Linked DNA regions of Oryzias latipes. The protein of the gene in region 1 purifies or fractionates together with the protein of each later gene. This does not show direct contact. Links are inferred from orthologs where the notes say so. Each region holds a gene or a part of one and is shown in the gene's direction. Other genes may lie near its edges.

Region 1 (3,344 bases):
CAGCTTCCTGAAGCCCTTCTTCTCTGTGCTGCAGCTTTCCTGGTGTCAGAGCTGGAGGCCTCCAGGATGATCCTGGTGAACAAGCCTCAGAAGAAGGCCCAGGAGGCTGGCAGCCCCGTCTTCCAGGAGCTGAAGGGGATCTGCGTGGCCCTGAGCATGTCCAAACCTCCAGCCAACATCACCATGTTCCAGTTTTTCACCGGCATTGAGAAGAAGGTCAGTCCAGCTGTTGCATGATTTCTGTTCAAGTTGACTTGATCCAAACACAACATGGTCCTCAGTCATGGCCTGGAGAAGTGATCCTGCAGGACAAACTGGACCTGTTTGACAGAAATGTCCTCCCCTGCCTGACTTCCGGCACCTTGTCCTCCCGCGGCACCTTGTCCTCCCGCGGCACCTTGTCCTCCTGCGATTTTTTTTGTGTGTGAACATTTGACCATCAGTGACCCACAATGACATTTCATTGTTCTTCCAGCTGAAGGAAGCCCTGAGTCGGGTGCCGGCCGGTCACGTGGGGGAGCCGCTGCTGAAGAGACCGCTTGGACCTGTGCACTTGGTAAACAAGGCGACGCCTCAGCGTGGGGGCCGTGCTCCCTCCCCGTGTGAACCGCTCTGTGCTCTTTCAGGAAAAGATTGAGGCCATAAACCAGACGCTGGTGAACGAGTACGAGGTGCGGAGGAAGACGCTGCTGAAGCGTCTGGACGTGACGGTGCAGTCCTTCGGCTGGTCCGACAAAGCAAAGGTACCGGCCCACACAAAGCCCCAATAGAATAGAACAGAAAGCCTTTACTGTCATTATGGAACAATGTGACGTTCTGATCAGTTCTGTCTGAAGTGGGCAGACTTTACAGACAAATAACAGAATAAAAAACAATGTGCAAGGATAAAAAAATGACACATCCAAGCCCCACGCTCCTTGACACGGACAGACTTGTTTATGTTCTTTGTTTTTGTCCTGTCAATATTTGTCAATACAATCATAATAGTAAGTTTTCTAAAATCCTCTTGTCTTGGTTTTCATTCACCCACTCTGGGTTCCTAGAGGCAGACCTGTCAGAGCGCCGGGCCTCCTTCCATACGTGTTCTATGACCACGTTTAGCACGCGGGCTTCACACTGGTCCGTCACCACCCAACACCACCGCATCTGCTCACAGCTGGAAGAGGCGCGGTGTGAAATAGAGGGGTGCAAACCTCCTGAGTCTTTTCACAGCTCTATTCCAAGAGATGAAAGACATAGTGACATAAGATTCTGGCTGGGAACAACACGTGTTGAATGGCCACGCGTTTTGTACGTAGAGCCCAAAAACTGATTTTAAAAACTTGCTTCACTGCATGTGAACGTGAGAGTTTGGAATGTGGAGGCCTGAAACACGCTGACACGTGCGTTTACATGGACTTTGACGGGAAGTGGCGGCTTGAATGCGCGTTGCCGATGCTGGTGTGAACGCAGCTTGATAGTCAAGCATTTGCTGGTAGGCTTTCTGAACCTGAAGGGGAGAGAACTCCTGCATGCTGTCTGTGGTGTCTGCAGGTGCGGGCGGAGAAGCTGGGGCAGGTGTACCAGCCGCTGCGCTCGGTACTCGCCGTCAGGAGCAGCGTCTCCGTTGCTCATCTTCTGGCTGCGCGGCAGGACTTCTCCAAGATCCTGAGAACGAGCAGTGGGAAGATCCGGGAGAAGACGGCCTGTGCGATCAACAAGGTGGGGTAGTACTCCTCCTGTAAAACGGGGGGGGGTTAACCTTTCTCTAGAGCTCCCACCTAAATGTTTTATTCTCTCAGCTGGATCCACAGCTTCTTCTGGAGTCTTGACAGCATTTGTCACTGTCTTTCATCTCCACCCCTCCCCTCCCCTCCCCAGGTTCTGATGGGACGAGTGCCAGACAGGGGGGGCAGACCCTGTGAGATTGAGCCCCCGCCCCCAGAGATGCCCTCCTGGCAGAAGCGTCAAGATGCACCCCAGGGCGGAGGACACTATGGGAGTGGGCACGGAGGCAGCAGAGGGGGCTATGAAAGAGCAGGAGGGGGCCATGAAGACAGGGTTGGCAGAGGAGGAGGAGGTAGAGGGGGCAGAGTGCAGGGCAGCTGGGGGGAGGGAAGTGGAGGGGGAAGGGGCGGGTATCATGATGCGGGGGGAAGAGGAAGCTACGGAGCTGGGGGGGGTGGACAGGGGGCCTTCCAGGATCCTGGTTACCACGGAAGAGGAGGCAGTTACCATGACAACTATCACCAGGATGGAAGCTGGCAACAGGAACGTGGTGGGGGCCGTGGAGGGCGAGGGGGACGTGGAAGAGGAGGCAGAGGAGGCCAAAGTGGTGGTTGGGGGGGCAGAGGAGGCTCCGGTTTCAGTCAAGGGGGTCAATTTGAACAGTTTTTTCAGCATGGGGGGCAACAGTTTAACCAGGCCGGTTTCAATCAGGGCAAACACTACAACAGCTGAGGGGGACAAAGAGAGCCCCCATCCTCTCACCTTGACTGATGACGCTGTGAAGGATAGGTGAAGGGGGTGGGGGTGGGGGGTGTAAATTCTCTGCCTGCTAAAGCACCTCCTTCTGGGAGGGTTCTTGTTCATTGTTGGACCCAAAAGCAGGAGCGGTTCTGAGAGTGACCTCTGCACCCCCACAAAGTTTGAGGTCTACGCTTTTTGTTTGGAGACGGGGGGGTTGGAGGGGGCTGCTGTTTGCCCTCCTCAGATGAGTCTGGATTATTTTCTGTTAAAGATGGAAGCGCCTGGGAATGTGGTGCACGGGGGGGGGGGTCGCACGGACAAGCAAACAATTAAAAAGTGTTGCTGTCTGAGTGGAGTTTGATTTCCTTTACTTGAATGAATAAACACTTTGGGCAAGACACCTCACCTCACCTCACCTCACCTCCAGTGTGGCTCCACCCGTGTGTGAATGTGTGTGAATGTCCCGGTGATGGGGGGGCTGTAGGAGGGAAGTGGCAGCCACGCCTCTGTCAGTCTGCCCCAGGGCAGCTGAGGTACATCAGTAGTTACCATCACCAAGTATGAATGAATATTGGATGTGACACACTGTAAGAACTTTAAGCGTCTGGAAAACCACAGATAAATCAAATCCATTACTATTTTTTTAGCTGGTTGGAGTCCCAGCTGGGTTCTTTCTTGGCGAAGTTTGCATGTTCTCGTTCATGAGTGGGTTCTCTCCTGGCACTCTGGCTTCCTCCCACAGTCCAGAAACATGCTGCACAGGTTGATTGGTGACGCTAAAATGTCCCTAGGTGTGATTGTGTGGTCCTAAAATAAACTGGTGACCTGTTCAGAGTGTATGTACCCCTCTCATCCAGCTGGGATAGGCTCCAGCAACCCTGTGATCCCAAAGGGGG
Region 2 (4,140 bases), on another chromosome or scaffold:
GTTAAGAAAAATAATTTTACAAATCATAATTTCATATTTTCTATAGGCTTTATGAAATTGCTCACTCGGTTGTGCCGTGGCACATGATTCTTTGTTGAAATACTGCACTTAGCTTGACTTTTTCTGTCAAGTTGTCAGAAAGGGTGCTCATATTGTGTCTAAAAGAAAACCAAATACTTTTGTCAGAAATAAGACATTAACTATATGGTCAACTCTTTCTTGATGAAATGATATACAAATGTAAATTAGAGTGAATAACTTTTATTAAACAAATATTAATTTTCTTATCCCATTATTGCACAGGTCTTTGCTTTTCCTCCATAAAAAATCATCTGAGGGATCATTTGATTTAAAAAAAGAAAAAAAGTGGCAAAAGTTGCCATAAACCTGCCAACATATTTATTTTAAAAATAGTGTCCAGGATATGTTTAACCAAGTGCCTGGAGAGTACTGTTCTCTGGAAACCTTCCATTTTTAAAAATAAATCTTGCTGTTAAATGAAGCAGTGATATGAATATTTCATATAAAAGTAGCTGTCAAGTGGAAGGGGGCCAGGACTGCATACATCAGCAGTAAAAGTGTGTTGGAATCAAGAGAGTGCTTTAACTGAACAGAAGGGAAGAAGTGAATAAAGGTTGCTTGATTCTTAACTTTCATCATTTGTGAATATTAGCTATTTAAAACATATTTTGTATGATTAATTGTCTTAATGGTGGCTTATAAATTATGTAATGTTAAAGCTGTATTTTTTGTAATGTATTTTAATCTCAAACTTAAAAAATAGACAAAGCTTTGATCTGAAATATTTATTTATAGCCAATTTCATAATAGAGATTATAATCTGAGGACTTCCACTCGTGGCCACTAGATGGCATTGTTTCAACGATTATCTAAACGCGTGAGCTGTTCAAAGATTCCAGACTTCTCCCACTTTTTGAAAAGTGAGGCGCTTCAATTAACTCTAAAACTTAACAAATTTACGAGTATTTTTTATTACACTTTTTCTTTCATTTTTTAAAGCATAAATGAAGAAACTATCCTATTATTGTTTCTAGATATTTATAACTGCAATCCCGTGTTTTAAATCTTATGATTACAATGAAAAGGAGAATTGAGTTTAATTGAGGCGAAACCCCTTTGAACTAAGTTCTTGATTTAACAACTGTCAATTCTACAAATTTGAAACAGTCCAATATTTTATGTATCTGATCGTATGTATGTATATTAAACAGCAGTTAGAAGACTTAAAACAAACAAAAAGCATTTATTTAAAGGCTGACCCTCCATCAAAGGTTGTCCACTGGCTGGAGACGTGGCAGCGCCTCGGGTCATATGATTTTTGGCTCATGCACGAACCCCACCCCGTTATTTCCTACCCTGACAGGGGGGGTTATTGTTCTCCTAACTTCTAATTCTAGAGTAAAATGCAGATTTGATCGACAAAGGCGCTTGAATATGATCTGCAATGGCCAACAGAGGGTCTGGACGTGGATTTAAGTGGCGGTGACCACCCAAAACAGAGCCATTTTTAGACATTTGCTGCTGACGTTTACACGGGCTTCAAATAGCTTCCGTTTCACTCTGGTAGTGATTGGACTGTTCGGCACTAAGAGGGAGCTAACACCGCCTCAACCAGTCCGACATTCTTCACTTCAATGGAGGAACAGCCCAAAGATCGGGCACAAGACAGGCAAAACCATCACCACGGAGAGGACAGAAACTATACTCAACACACACTTCGTCTGAAACATGATCAGAGCCACATCCAGTGCCAGCATCAGGAAACGCAGGCGAAGAAAACAGGTTAGGCCGTCCCGAAAAGTCAGCTTGTTGCTAGCTTCAGTTGGCTAATGTCAACGAGCGCACGAGCCCTCGCTAAGTTCCCACAATTGAAGCTTTATCCTGCTGATTGTTGGTTGCACGGTTGAATATTTTCAGAACCGCCGTGGCAGTTCGGTGGCTCGCTCGAGGAGAGCCACGCTAGGCCTCTGTCACACGAGAAACTCACGCTTTTTTAAAGCTGACGTTGCGTGACAGTTGGTTTGACATATCAGGGATTGACCTTGTGCGCCGGCTTTGCTTTCCGATTTTATTTTAGCTAACGCCTCTAATAAAAGCTTTATTTGTGCCACCCTGTGTCTGTAGAGACTAACTTAGTCTTCCTCCAAACTTCAACCTCCTGTAGTGTATCGGTTTCGAGTCCAGTTAGGAAACCGAGCCGGCTCCGCTGGAATGTTCTGTGCTCCCATTTCCTGTCGGCCATGTTAGACGTGGACTGTAAGCTAATGCTGCTTTTGCTCTCCGAGTAGCTACATTGCCCATCTCTATTTGTTCATGCTTTCTCTAATTGCCGCCGGGGACTGAAAATAACGGAACCAGGGAGTCGTCTGAAAGTGCGCTAGTGTTGAGCGAGCTACTGGTTGGTTGACATTCCGCTAGCATTAGCTGTCTGACAGGCCTATCGCGTGTTGTGAAGTCACGCAAGATGCTGCCTGACTGACTGTGTTTGCAGCCGTGGAGCGTGGAAGAATTGGCTCAGAAAACTGACTGCTGTAAAACACTGTTTACTAAAAAGCAAAAGTGATTTATTCTGTGTGGGGAATCTCGCGTGTTTTGTCCACAAACATTCGGCTGGAGAAATCCCGTGAAGGGAAAAGTCCCACGTTTGCACCGCGGTTCCCATGCTTAAGTAATTACAGCACAATAAGCATAGGTCATCACACACGTCCAATGTGGGACAATGACATCAGCGTCAACTGCAGCATATCAAGGATGTGACTAATTAAAACAAGATCAGTTTTATTCACAACGAGCTGTATATACGAGATGTTGGTACTGAATGATCAACTGAAATTTCAAAAACCTGTTATTGAACATGGAAGTGAACTGGATGAGATTATACTCATGAATCTGGGTGTAATGATTCGATTCATATCCTAATTTCTGGTTGCCAGTACAATTCATAGTCTGTATTGGTTCATTTGATCTGAAACGATTTACTGACCTAAAATGGATCCAGGACATCTTTAGCCAAAAGTTCCTCCAGTGTGACTCAGAAATACCTGGTACTGAACAGTGCAGGTGAAGTTTTCCAGATTCCTTGTATTTCTTGTAAGATAATCTAGTGTAAATTAAATGTGTGTACAACCAAACAAGTAAACAAGAATTAATGTAAAATCCATTCACCTCTTAATTTCCTAAAGTTCAGTCCACTGTTGTTTCTCCACATCAAAATAATCCAAAGGGAACATTTTTAGAACATTCTAGCACACTGTATGGTCGCATGTCTTTGCTAAATTCAAAGTGTTTCCACATATTGGACTGGAATAATAGACTGATCATTTTTTGCTTACATCACGTGTGTTTTGTCTGCTGTGATGCAAATGCTAAATTCCGATAATGATTATAATTAATTTGTCTCATTTTGAAACGATTTTATACTGTTGTAGGTCGATTGGTTGACAACCTGTCTCAGACAGATCAATCTGGTTGGATCGTAGAAGTAGAAATCAATTAATCAGTTATGTTGATTAATTGTTACACCTCAACTTACAAGTATAGGTAATTTGATACAAAAAATTATATTGATTTCTCCAAAAAGTACTGATTTATGTTTAATTCCAATTAACTTAGAACTCAAGTGAGTAAAGTTGATGAGACCTAAAAATAACATGTTTTCTAATATGTATTGATATTGCGTAACAATATAGCTGCAGAGTCATATTTGTAATTCGTTTGTGCCATTCATACATGTTTGCAGGTCATCTGAAAAAGCATTTTCTGCTGCTTTAACCATGAATATCCTTTACCAACCAAACGTATAAATAAAGGCAACATCAACCTAAAAATAGACTTGTTTAGTTTTATGTCAAAATTAACATGTCATTATTACGGGCTGCCTTGGTACAGTGGAAGGGGGTCGACCTCTGATCAAAAGATTGCAGGAAGGTGTCCTTGGGTAAGACACTGAACCCCACCTTACCTCTGGTGGAAGGTTGGCGCCAGTGTGTGTGCATGGGTGAATGGGACTGTGACTGTAAAGCGCTTTGGGCCTTCTAAAAAGCTTGTAAAGCACTAAATAAGTATACGGCATTTACCATTATTTAGTAGAAATGTTATTTAACGTGAACGGCCACTAAT
Region 3 (3,992 bases), on another chromosome or scaffold:
ATGTTGCCAATCAGTTTTATAATTTTCATGTTATACACGTTTTCTGTTGTTTAAGTTGTGTCTTTCAGTAAATTGTTGAATAAAGGTCACATACTACTGCATGGTATAGCGTGGGAACCAACTACTGACTAACCTTAACTGTTGTTCAATGCAGGTTTATAAGGATTTGAATCGGGTGACCATGTTTAAGAAATGGGAATCAAATCAAACTTTATTTAAAAAAGAAATTTAAACGCAAAAACAACACAAAGTGCCAGAAAGCTGACATCTGGCTCATAAACACAAACCCTGACCTCTAGTTTCTCTTTAAACCAGAATTGATATTAAAAAAGAAAAACCTGGGATTAAACAAGAAAATATTGCTTAATGCTTAGGTCTTGAAGTCATAGCAAGGGTTCAGTTGTCACAACCCAGTGCATGCTCGGATCCGCATCCCATTCTCTGAGCTGCAGTGCAGGGCCTCTAACCACAGCAACCATCCCTGATGTGGAATAATCTCACAGGGAAAGCATTGGGATGAAAGATAAAATAAATCAATAAAAAAATCAACTAAAACCAATAATTAATAAAAAATAGGAAACAACCAGAGTAAAAATATATTAAAAGTATACCGTAACAGAAAGACACACAATTGGCAAGATTTAAAAAAATAATATATATATATATAAAAAAGCGGATTGTTGGTAAGTAAAATGTATTTTTTTCTTATAGTATACAATTAAATAAAAATGTGCTAAAATAAGAAATCAGGCGTGAAAAAATAAATAAATGAATGGATCATGAGTTAGAAAATGTAGGGTTTTCTTTCCCACCCACAAAAATATGAATAAAAGTCGGACGTTTGCAGAAAATAGTAATTAACATTATAACCCATCCATCACTTATTGTGTCCAAGGTGTTGTTTGATTCCATACAGACAGAAACCAGCTCACGTGGATCCCATGAAACATCCATGTAAAACTAATGGACTTCCTGAAAATAGTGCCAATGTGCAGTTGTAAATTGAAAAAAAATAAATAAATAAAAAATAAACAGACAATTGTATGTTTATAATTTTCTTTTTTTTTTGTTGATAAATATTACATTTATATGTTTAGTTAAATGAATGCAGTCATGTACGTTTTTATAAATGATTGAAACTAATGTGATACGCCGTTACGCCTTTCCTATATCCCTCCGCCGGTTTTTGTCTCTCTCAGACTGTTTTGGTCTTTTCACTGTTAGCAACGGAAAGAGCCCAAGCTAGCTGTGAACGTATTTAGAAAAAAAAAAATTAAATCTTTTTTTAGGGTTTCATAAAAAATTGACAAGTGGCGTAACGTTTTTTGGGGGGATTTCAGGAGCGCGTCGTCTTTTTAAAACTTGTTTTTTTTTCCTGTTTTAAAAATATTTGTACAGATTGCTAATTTGAGGGAGCAACTGTGCACCGGAGTTAGTTAGCAAGCGTCTTAGCATAACATTCACGTTGACATTAGCCTGCTAGCACGTTGGCAAGCTGTCACCGAGGAAATTCACGTCTGAAAGTTGTCATTTTAAGACTTTGTTTTTTATGGGATCATTATGTCATTGAAGACCGGTGGAAATCGCAGCAAGCCCGGCGGTGGTAACACCGCTGGTGGTGGGGCCGCCTCCGGTGCCGGGGGAAGCGGCGGTGGAAGACAGAATCTGGGCAGGTCAGTAATAATATCAAAATTCATTGTAAAAATAAATTTTACTAAAGGTATCTGTGACCTCTATTCAGTAAATACATATAATCACTTTAGACGGTTTTAGTTTGAAGAGATGACATACATGCTAAATGGTAAAATTTGTGCGTGTCAGAGAATGAAATGCGGGCCTTGCGTCATGCTCTGGTCATCAGGTAAAACGTTTTGCAGCTCGGCTAGCGAGGCCTAACCGCTAATGTTCAGCAATGTTTCGACTTTTTCTAGTTATACACGGATTTAAAAAAAACAAACCATATGAATGTGCATATAAAATGTGCATCTAAACGTCCCTTTCACCTCGCATGCTCTATGTAACCCCGGCGGTTTAGAATGGCCCACCCAGAAATGTTTTTTTTTTTTTTTTGGATTGAAATGGGACATTTTATTGTGTCAACGATCATGGCATTTTCTTTCACGTACAGAGCTGTTTTGTAGAGTTTACCCAGTCAGAACATGCAATCTTTATTGTAGAATGCATCAATTGTAAGAAAGTTTGTCAGCAATATAGAAATATTTTTTTTCCTCAGGGGAAGACACGGTGGTAAAGGTCCTGCAGCTGTAAGTTACCAATAATTCTTTAAAAAAATCATATTAATATGTATGTATGCATGCTGGTTAACATGCATCTGTTACCTGCAAGTGTTTTGAATGTATTGGTGAAACACAAGTTTGTGTTTAAAAGTAGCCATGAGTCAGAAAAGCTCAGGTTAATAAAAGCATATTTTGTGCTTTATTCCAAAGTGAACTGATGTTTTGTGGATGTCATTCGGATGTGACCTACTGTTTATTTATCAGCAAATTGTGAGCAGCAGATTATGTGCATTTTCTTTCTTTCTTTCTTTCTTTCTTTCTTTCTTTCTTTCTTTCTTTCTTTCTTTCTTTCTTTCTTTCTTTCTTTCTTTCTTTCTTTCTTTTTTTAGGTCATTTTCAGTGGTGTTTATGCAAATATGAGGATGGTCCACGTTTTGACTTCAGTGGTGGTAAGTTGACCTTAATATCCTGAGTTAATTGCAATAACTGTCTTTCTATTTTGTTTCTAATATTTCCTACTAATAAAGCACAAGTCGAACATATTGTAAAGAAAATAACCACAAATATATTACTGTAGCTCACAGAGTAATAGTAGTGTTGGAGTTTTTTGTTTGGACTCATGCTGTGTTTTTAAACCTTAGGAATGTTTGTAAGGAAACAGTTGATTATATAAACAAAGATAAGATTGATCCTTTTTTTTTTGTTTATTCTGTGACAAATCCATTTGAAGTTCCTTTTTTGTTTTGTTTAAAATAATGAAATTAATTGAATAAACAGTTGCTGCATACATTAACAAAATTGCCTTTTGCAGGGGACAAAGTGTGAGCTGGAGGTGAAAAACGGTTCTGTGTACGAAGGCGTATTTAAGACGTACGGTCCAGAGGTAAGTAAAGAGCAGGAAACATGATAAAGTTCCATTGTAACTATTTTCTGCACATACCTAATAACAGATTAAGATACCAGAGTAGAGTGGGGGGGGGGGGGGGCATTATTCCTTCCATAAATTCTGTGTGTATTACTCGTGAACTTTTGAAGGTCAATCTGTTTAAAAATGTCATGTTCAGATGAACAATTTTACCGCAGCAATGAAAAACTGCAGCTCATTTAGTAAAGCATGACGCTAAACAGAAAAGACTTTTCCGTACAATTATCAAAGACTTTTCCTTATTTTATGTTTCTTAAGTATGTTACTGCCTCTCTAAGGCCGCATGTGTGTTATGTCAATAAAAATAGCAGCTTTAAAAAAGAATCTGAATATTCTTTGCTTTTAGAAGCTAATGCCACTTTTCGCACGGGGTCAAAAGAATAAAGCTCGACTTTTTTCTGTTTTTTACTGCACTGGACATTTACATTTGCAGAAATGTTTAAATGTTGATGTTTTTGTTAGCTCTTTTTAGATGGTGAGTCAACCCTGCAAAGAATGGTTAGAGGGTAGGGGGGTACTTTGAGACTGCAACGATATGTTCAGTCATTTATATTATGTAACTGTTAGGCCAGGAAAGTTTATTTGTTTAGCACATTTCATGTGCAAAGACAACTCAAAGCGCTTAACATAAAACATTTAAAGAAGCAATCAAATACATATTTAGAAAGATCATTAAAATAAGATTTGAAGAAAGTTAAAAAATAACTTCATTTAACTGAAGCATGGATAAACAGTGTGGATGTCAACTTTTGAATACAAACTAATCAAATGCAGCAGAGATCTGGTGGGTCTTTATCTGGATCTAAATAAACTAAGTGTTTCAGCTGATC

What was found. Proteins that work in one complex are often made in the same cells at the same time.
Region 2: the proteins of fam98a (region 1) and nufip2 purify together in Homo sapiens (co-immunoprecipitation; 3 studies listed by BioGRID and IntAct, with this or other methods). This does not show direct contact. The link is inferred for Oryzias latipes from reciprocal best matches to the Homo sapiens genes FAM98A and NUFIP2.
Region 3: the proteins of fam98a (region 1) and atxn2 purify together in Homo sapiens (co-immunoprecipitation; 3 studies listed by BioGRID and IntAct, counting the BioPlex papers as one, with this or other methods). This does not show direct contact. The link is inferred for Oryzias latipes from reciprocal best matches to the Homo sapiens genes FAM98A and ATXN2.

What each region holds. Positions count from the first base shown.
Region 1 is NC_019873.2:1,647,174-1,650,517, reverse strand, and holds the end of fam98a (protein FAM98A), read left to right. Parts: intron 1-34; coding exon 35-216; intron 217-475; coding exon 476-556; intron 557-626; coding exon 627-743; intron 744-1,533; coding exon 1,534-1,701; intron 1,702-1,860; coding exon 1,861-2,439; 3' UTR 2,440-2,798; downstream 2,799-3,344. UniProt on the Homo sapiens protein: Positively stimulates PRMT1-induced protein arginine methylation. Involved in skeletal homeostasis. Positively regulates lysosome peripheral distribution and ruffled border formation in osteoclasts.
Region 2 is NC_019872.2:16,918,302-16,922,441, forward strand, and holds the start of nufip2 (nuclear fragile X mental retardation-interacting protein 2), read left to right. Parts: upstream 1-1,339; 5' UTR 1,340-1,655; coding exon 1,656-1,803; intron 1,804-4,140. UniProt on the Homo sapiens protein: Binds RNA.
Region 3 is NC_019867.2:7,498,303-7,502,294, reverse strand, and holds the start of atxn2 (ataxin-2), read left to right. Parts: upstream 1-1,191; 5' UTR 1,192-1,560; coding exon 1,561-1,673; intron 1,674-2,233; coding exon 2,234-2,264; intron 2,265-2,626; coding exon 2,627-2,686; intron 2,687-3,048; coding exon 3,049-3,120; intron 3,121-3,992. UniProt on the Homo sapiens protein: Involved in EGFR trafficking, acting as negative regulator of endocytic EGFR internalization at the plasma membrane.